2 linked regions of the Daphnia pulex genome follow. The protein of the gene in region 2 binds, or shares a complex with, the protein of the main gene of each other region. Links are inferred from orthologs where the notes say so. Each region holds a gene or a part of one and is shown on either strand. Other genes may lie near its edges. The genes, in order: general transcription factor IIH subunit 5-like and general transcription factor IIH subunit 2-like.

What was found.
Region 1: general transcription factor IIH subunit 2-like (region 2) and general transcription factor IIH subunit 5-like share a complex: the UniProt entries of both Caenorhabditis elegans proteins name them as parts of the 7-subunit TFIIH core complex. The link is inferred for Daphnia pulex from reciprocal best matches to the Caenorhabditis elegans genes gtf-2H2C and gtf-2H5.

The regions. Positions count from the first base shown.
Region 1 is NC_060021.1:7,407,677-7,410,734, reverse strand, and holds general transcription factor IIH subunit 5-like, read right to left. Parts: upstream 1,485-3,058; 5' UTR 1,476-1,484; coding exon 1,383-1,475; intron 1,099-1,382; coding exon 991-1,098; intron 921-990; coding exon 831-920; 3' UTR 803-830; downstream 1-802. Other genes in the region: septin-1-like, read right to left, coding at 220-448, 518-611, 670-802, 2,184-2,355, 2,426-2,563, 2,642-2,751, 2,811-2,928, 2,998-3,058. UniProt on the Caenorhabditis elegans protein: Component of the general transcription and DNA repair factor IIH (TFIIH) core complex, which is involved in general and transcription-coupled nucleotide excision repair (NER) of damaged DNA and in RNA transcription by RNA polymerase II.
Region 2 is NC_060021.1:11,747,737-11,752,141, reverse strand, and holds the start of general transcription factor IIH subunit 2-like, read right to left. Parts: upstream 3,062-4,405; 5' UTR 2,905-3,061; coding exon 2,846-2,904; intron 2,783-2,845; coding exon 2,449-2,782; intron 2,395-2,448; coding exon 2,055-2,394; intron 1,994-2,054; coding exon 1,885-1,993; intron 1,823-1,884; coding exon 1,573-1,822; intron 1,510-1,572; coding exon 1,384-1,509; 3' UTR 1,045-1,383; coding exon of another isoform or gene 946-1,044; 3' UTR 881-945; coding exon of another isoform or gene 812-880; 3' UTR 718-811; coding exon of another isoform or gene 666-717; 3' UTR 435-665; coding exon of another isoform or gene 304-434; 3' UTR 238-303; coding exon of another isoform or gene 175-237; 3' UTR 110-174; coding exon of another isoform or gene 1-109. Other genes in the region: LIM domain-containing protein jub-like, read left to right, coding at 1-109, 175-237, 304-434, 666-717, 812-880, 946-1,044; uncharacterized protein LOC124193377, read left to right, coding at 3,676-3,755, 3,846-3,993, 4,056-4,211, 4,296-4,405. UniProt on the Caenorhabditis elegans protein: Component of the general transcription and DNA repair factor IIH (TFIIH) core complex, which is involved in general and transcription-coupled nucleotide excision repair (NER) of damaged DNA and, when complexed to CAK, in RNA transcription by RNA polymerase II.

The sequences.
Region 1 (3,058 bases), about 4.3 Mb from region 2:
AGCAAATGAAATTTTCTAGGACTACCGAGCTTCATGTAATTTGTGCTGTTGCTCCATATTTATAATTTGCCCAAAATCAAAAGGATTTTTATATGAGCATTTTAATACACTTTAATCATAGTTAGAGGAGCGCTGATTTATTTGTTCATTTAATAAGAAAAAGTATAATCGAAAAGGGTTTATTGATGAGATGACAAGTAAGAAAGCAATGGAATATTATTAGGCGGTCCACTTCAAGCAACGCGTGTCTTGATGAGTACCTAAGCATTTGACGCTACAGTACCTTGCGCCACAAGATAAACAGGTGTAACTACAAGTAAATCCACAAACAGCACAAAAATGACGTTCGGGAAACTTAGATGGTGGAACTTGAGCTGAAACATAATTTGGGGGCTCTGGGCGATTAACCTGTTCTTCCTCCAACAGCTGTGCAAAGGATTTTCGAAACCTGTAAAAGAGGAGAAATTACTTCAATAGAATTACACTTCGTTTCAGCAATTAATATTAAACAAAATACCGTTGTTTGAAAATTTCGAAATTTTTAGATTTCCTTCTTCTTGTTTGTTTACCATCAAGAGACTCTTCAAACTTGGGGATCTTTTTGCTTAGTACTGCATAAATATCCAGAATTAATGAAAGATCTGAAAACTAGCCAACTTACAAAAATACCTAAATTGGCATGAGGGTCATCATGAAAATTATCTTGCTCAAGTGCTTCCAATGCTTTCCTTGCTCTTCTCCTACGAGCTGCCTCATCCAAAACCCTTCTGGAATTGGCATCCTTCTGACGGGCTGACTCTCTCTGAGATGAATTCATGATGATAGATAATTTACTCGATTTCTCTTTCTGCCAAAGGAAAACTGATCCTGTCCATCAAATCATCAATTCTAGACTGCAAAACTTCCAGATATTCAGGTGCCTAACAGAGAAAATGTCAAAAAGATAAAAATACAAAATATGAGAAAATAGAAGTATTTTTTAAATTTTACAATGAAAACGTGAGTTTCATCCAAATCTTGAACTATGAATTTGTTGCCTAGAGCATGTGTCTCGTCTAAATGAAGAAGCAATTGTTTCATAGCAGCATCACATTCAACCTTTGGGTAATAATACAAATTCAAGTATAAATTTAACAATTAAGCACCATGTAAAGAAAAGGTAAACCATTATAAGTTGCCACCTGAGATACTTATTAATTTCTAAATCTATGACTATTTCCACGGGATAGTCCGATCGAATATTTTGTGCTTTCTTTCTGACAAGAAACTTTTACCAGCACAGTCAATTTCACTAGTGATTGAAGTAAGTTAAAATACCATACTTCAAATACAAAGATATAATAAATCAAGTGGCATTTATAAGTTTTACCGTAAATTATTACCAGAATTCCTTTAGTTACGTTTACCATCTTGCCCCATTGGTAAAAAGTAAGTAAGTAACTGATCGTCTGATCACCATTTTGGATTTTTGGCATCTTCTTTCAGCACTTCCAGCTTTTGATTGGCGTCGGTAGGTGGCGTCTTAAATTGAGCGGGAAAGGAGTTTGTTGGCGCATTATATAAAAATTTACAAGACTTCCATTCATAAAGGTTTGGTTTCACTTCAAGAAAACTAAGAAAAATTAAATCTTTTAATGGGAAAAAGGAAGCAAGAGTCTGAAAAAATTGTATATTGAAATACTGCGACCAGTACCGAGAGTCCGAGACACTAAAAAGAAAATGATTGGGTAGGATATTCGAGGCGCATCTGGGCTTTAATTGCCCTACATGGAAGAAAAATTCGAATGTACGCAAATGAGGAAAATTACTAGTGAAGTGACCAAATAATGAAGCACAGCGAATTTGTTAAATGTTGGCACTTGAATGGGATTTTATCGAGGAAACCTAAGATCTTCACATTGGAAGGTAAGAGTGCCAAGGGTGTTGAAACAGCAATCAAAGCTGAATAAACAGTCAAAACAGTAGAGAAGAATTCCTTTTGGTTTAAGTGACAACTGAAAATTGCTGTTAAAGACGACGCACAGTGCTATTGAGGTTGTTGTTGTTGCATTTGTGCTTGCATTTGAGCCAACATCTGTTGCATACGTCGTAGCTCCGCCTCTTTTTCCTGTGAGAACAAAACAATGATGCAAACGGTCGAAACACTATTTCCATTGTCTATTAATAACACAATAGTTACTAACCTGAAGTATTTTTTCTTTCTCACTAATCTGCTCCGGAGCAGCCGATGGCGCGGTGGAATTAGTTGGCCCAGCGGTTTTTCGATTCGAAGCTACACCTTTAGCAAGACGTTCTGATCGGTAGTTCTCATAGTGAACATCTTGTGTTACTTCCTGTAAATCTTGTAGCTGTTGACTAAATAATGAAAGAATTAAACGTTAGTGCAATGCAAGATTTTCGATCTTTGACGAGTCAAACAAGTTACATCAGCATCGTTCGGAGTTTAATGAAATCGCAGTGTTCAGGATTTTCAACTTCAACGACACCCCATGGATACTGCCGTCCGCGGACCTTTCGGCCCTTAACTTCAATCAACGTATTGGCCCCACATACAGCAAAAGGTCTGAATAAATGAATTATATTATTATTATTATTATGAATGAATTATAATTGTTATTAGTCTGAATGAATTATTACATACACTGCGTCTTTAAGCTGACGAACTTGCTCTTTGTAGTCTTCGTCTTCATCCGAATCGCAATCGGGAAGTGGGTAAATACGAATTCCGTTTGCCTCAATTTCTTCCATGACCTAATAATTTTTTAGTTAAACAAGTTTATAATAAATCTAAATGTTGGTCACAATTTTACCCTTTTCTTCAACCGAGCAATTTCTTTCTTTGTTAGCATATCTGCTTTAGCGATTACAGGCACGATGTTGACTTTGTGATGCAGCATTTTCATAAATTGCGTATCAAGGGGTTTAAGCCTATTTAGGAAAAGATTAGCCAATACATTCTGTGAAATCTAGTTGAATCACGAGTGGAATCTATCATACCCATGTCCATATGGAGAAATGAAGTAGAAACAGCAATGGACCCGGTTATCGACTATGTTAC
Region 2 (4,405 bases):
AAATCTCTATCACACTTGCTGCTTCGTATGCTGTTCCTGTGGTCGGGCCCTTCGGGGAAAAGCTTTCTATAATGTTCATGGAAAGGTTTACTGCGAGGAGGATTATTTGGTGTGTATCATTTTTATAGGTTAACTGGGCAACTTTTTGCTTATAAATCCTTTCTATTTTCACAGTACTCTGGCTTTCAACAAACTGCTGAGAAATGTGGACTGTGTGGACATTTAATAATGGAAACTGTAAGAGCTTTATTTTCTGAACAAATCCCGTTTCAATTATAATCATTAAAAAAATATGTTGTACAGATTTTACAAGCTATGGGAAAATCTTATCATCCTGGATGCTTCCGTTGCTGCGTTTGCAACGAATGCTTGGACGGGGTTCCATTCACTATCGACGTTGATCATAAAATCTACTGTGTGACCGACTACCACAGGTAAAATAAGTATTCCATCTCTTTTTTGCACCTAGATCTGTTGTACCACATTACCTGCACCACTCCGTTGCGTGTTTCTTTGGTACATGGTTTTTATTTTGAGTCAAAACTCTTACGTGCTGGGCCATTTTTTGCCTGCCTGATTGGAGGAATATTTACTTCCTAAGAGCCTGCTTAATTCTCTCTTTTTTGAACACTTTTCTTGTATCATCGTTGTCTTGCTGGGTGAAGGATGTTTGCACCGAGATGCGCAGCTTGCGATGAAATTATCACGCCTGCTCAGGTGAGAGATCTATTTGGTTCCAGGGCCCTTGACAAATTTGAATTTTGCTCATAAAAGAAAGGGATACGACATTCTTTTTTCTATGCACTTATAGGGTAGCAAAGAGACGGTACGCGTTGTGTCTATGAACAAGGATTTTCACGTTGATTGCTATGTTTGCGAGGTTTGACATTCAACAAATAAGGTCTTCTTTTCAACGCAATTTTTAAATGTTTCTTTTGCTATTAGAGTTGTGGATTACAGTTAACGGATGAGCCAGAGCGGCGATGTTATCCTTTGTACGGCCGCCTATTTTGTCGCAGCTGTCGACTTATGCAAGACACTTGAAAATTATGCAGCACACGAATACGCCAAAACCAAAATGTTTTTTTTTTACTCTTCGGTTTTCTTTCCTATTATTACGTGCGATATAAGCTTTTACATTTTGACGAAAACTTTTTAGGTTTAATTTTCAAAAACTATCCTACAAGACGTTATTTGACTTTTTTTTTGTGTGTACCTTATTCAAACTAACGTGACTAATGTCCCTAATAGATTGGCTCTGTTTTCATTGCAAATGTACACTGCACAAATACTCGGATTACACCATTAAATTTTTAGTTAATACCAACCGAACGTTATGTACATTTGTGGAGTTCAACTTCTGAATGAATGAAACAATTTTATTCAGTTAGTTTTCATTTGAGCTGTGATTGGATCACTAGCACATCCAGGGCATGTGTGCAATGTTTCTCGTATGAATAGGTCGCAGTCAAGACATACAATCTGTTTGCAGTTTTCACACTCGTAAACCTTAAAAAAATAAATAAATAACAGATGTAAGAAAATCGTCGAAGAACCAATAATCATTCTTACATTGGGATCCAATTCACCAAAAGGCTTGGCGCACGCAAAGCAATGCGTCATCTCGGGAACTTCTGTTCGTTCTATAAATGGTTTGATGGGAAAGAGATGGTGATAAGAACGGGCAAGATGAGGGGCAGAAACCAGAGTCAATCCGCATTGTTTGCACTCAACTGGAAGCTCACAATAACGACTTCCACATTGCGGACAGTTATAGCCACTGTTGTTGCCCATTAAACATGATGTTTCGTTTTCAATATGGCTGTAAAGCAAACAGAAAGTGATGAAACACTTGAATATACGCCAATATCGCCAATAATTTACCAAAGACAATAAGCTGGGGCGTGATCTGCAGCAGAATCTGAAGCTCCGTCGCCTGAACCAGTTTTACCTCCAGGAAAACCCATTTTCACCAGTGAGGCCTCCATAGAACCTAAATTTCAAAGCTACACTGTACCGCGTTCCAATAGTAACAATTCCAAAGAAACAATTACCTGCTACAGCCGGTGGTTGCACTTGATTTAGAATGAGTTCCTTCAGATGATGATCGTCGAGAAGAACATTGTAAGTGCCACCAGTTCTTTTGGCAATTTCTCGGCAAATCCTTACTTCTGCCGCCAGCCCGATGATTGAAACCCGAATGTTATTCTCCTTCAAAGACTTGATCGTTTTTTTTATGTCACCCGGATCGCAAGTAGTCAAGCTGCCAAATAACACCAACACTTCTCTACTAGAGTGGGCAGGCATGTTTTTCAGACCATTCATAGCCCTTTCTAATGAGTTTTGAAGTGATGGCTCCCCTTCACACGAAGTATCCTTCATTTGTTGTAATGCCTAGGAATGTTTAAAATTATATTTTGATTTCTTGATGATAAACTTAAGATTTACCTCAATATGCTTTTTCTGGTTTCCGGCTAGGGCTGTAACAAGTTCACTGCGTTTCACTTTGGTTGTTAATATTCCTAACTGACTTATCGGGTTAAGGTCAAAGAATTCATGAACAAACAATTCTAATAACTTTAAAACACAGAGGAAGCGAGTAGGTTTCAAATCCTGCAAAAACATGCATTCTGAAGCATCTATAACAACAAAGAGATGCCTCATCATTCCAAGTTGGATCGCACCGGTGGCTTTCAGGGCAGCTCTTTTCCTTTTGGCTCGGGCTACTATTTCAGCCACATTTGATTCCAATAAACCATCATCATCTTCTTTAATAGCTTCCCTAGATTTCATTCAATAAGTGAATTTAGTCTCATGGTTATACTTCATATCACTAAGTACTTACCATGTTTTTTCATATCCCGACTCCCAGCGATACTCATTGGTTTCTTCTTCATCTGCCATTTTGGTAAAATAAGCGTGGTTTTTGCGTTTTAAACAGTTATAAATATTCAATTGATGACACCAATTGTTCTTGGCTTCTTGCGACTCACGAGAACCTTATTTTCGAACATATTTTTCCTATTCGAAAATGTCTTCTGCTTGTGTTTCTTTACAGGGATGCCAGATTCCAGATCCAGATTTCACTCAACCACGAGAATTCAAACTAAAAAAAATACATGATAATTTCAAATAAATAAAAAGAAATAGAAAAAAAACTGTGAAAAATTTATGATGACATCATATTTAAATAATGACTCATGGGCTATATCACAGAAAATTTGTCATCCTTCCTTTGAAATTTGAATCGTTTCCTGTGTTTATCACGTGACTTTTTTAACAAATCGTAGGGAGAATTCGCAAGTCTCCGCCCCGATTGCCTCATGTTACATTTTTCCAATTTTCGCTGAACGGAAATTGGAATGTAGCAAGCAAATTGTGATGACAAATCTGAAAAGTGTGCTGTAAACTTACTCTCTATACAGAATTCATTTTGTTTAACGGCTGTGATAATGATAGTAGCTCACGTGAAGCACAAGTATTGATACGAAAATCGAAAAGCATTCGTAATCAGCAACAGGTGTATTTATCTTTTCGTTGGGTGGAAGTGCGTCATTACGTAAAGCTGCATGAGATAGTGTTGCAAGTATTTTGCTGAAGGTAAAGTATGTAAAAGCTTTGTAAAGATACTGAATTGTTCTTAATTATTTCTAACTTCAGTGTGAAAGTTGTAGAATGTCTGTCCCAGACCAACTGAAAACTAAGAGAAGAGCCAGAGTCAATCGAATGAGGAGATGGGATCAAATTGATGACAAGTATAAATCTGAAATTTTCTCTTCTCTTATTATGATTTCCTCCACAAAAAAGTTTGATAATATTGTTTTCTAATTAAATTTTCAAATTAGGATGTGGAATAAGTGGGAGAAAGTATTCAAAGAAAAATTTAAGAATTTCAAAGATTCCTGGACACTTGCTGTAACAAATGATTGTCCATCTACACATGAATGGGAACACTCATTAGAAGAAAAGTTAAGCATGGCATGCAAGTGCAAGGTAAAAGTTGTTGAATGAAATGTTAATAGTGAATGTGATTTTTTAACATGACTTTTTAATAGGACTGTAACCATGTATGGGTTACAGACAATGGTATTGTTTGTTTCTACTATGCATTTAATAAGCAGTCCAACACTGGAGAAATTGCAGGAAAAACCCTTATTGTTTGGGTGAAGCCTCAATTATGCCCCAATAAGGAAAAATGTGGCTCTTCCAATGTAAGGCAAATCTCTGTCTGAAGTTACTTATTGAAAAAATTGTGCAACTAAACAATTTCTTTCTTTATTTATTTTAATTCAAAGCTGCCAATGATAGATGTGTACCAGGATGAAGTGGAGGCTGTGCTGAGCTATCTTATGATGGAGATTGGTTGGTATTTTTACCAAATTAATTACTCAAAGGATGAAGAAAA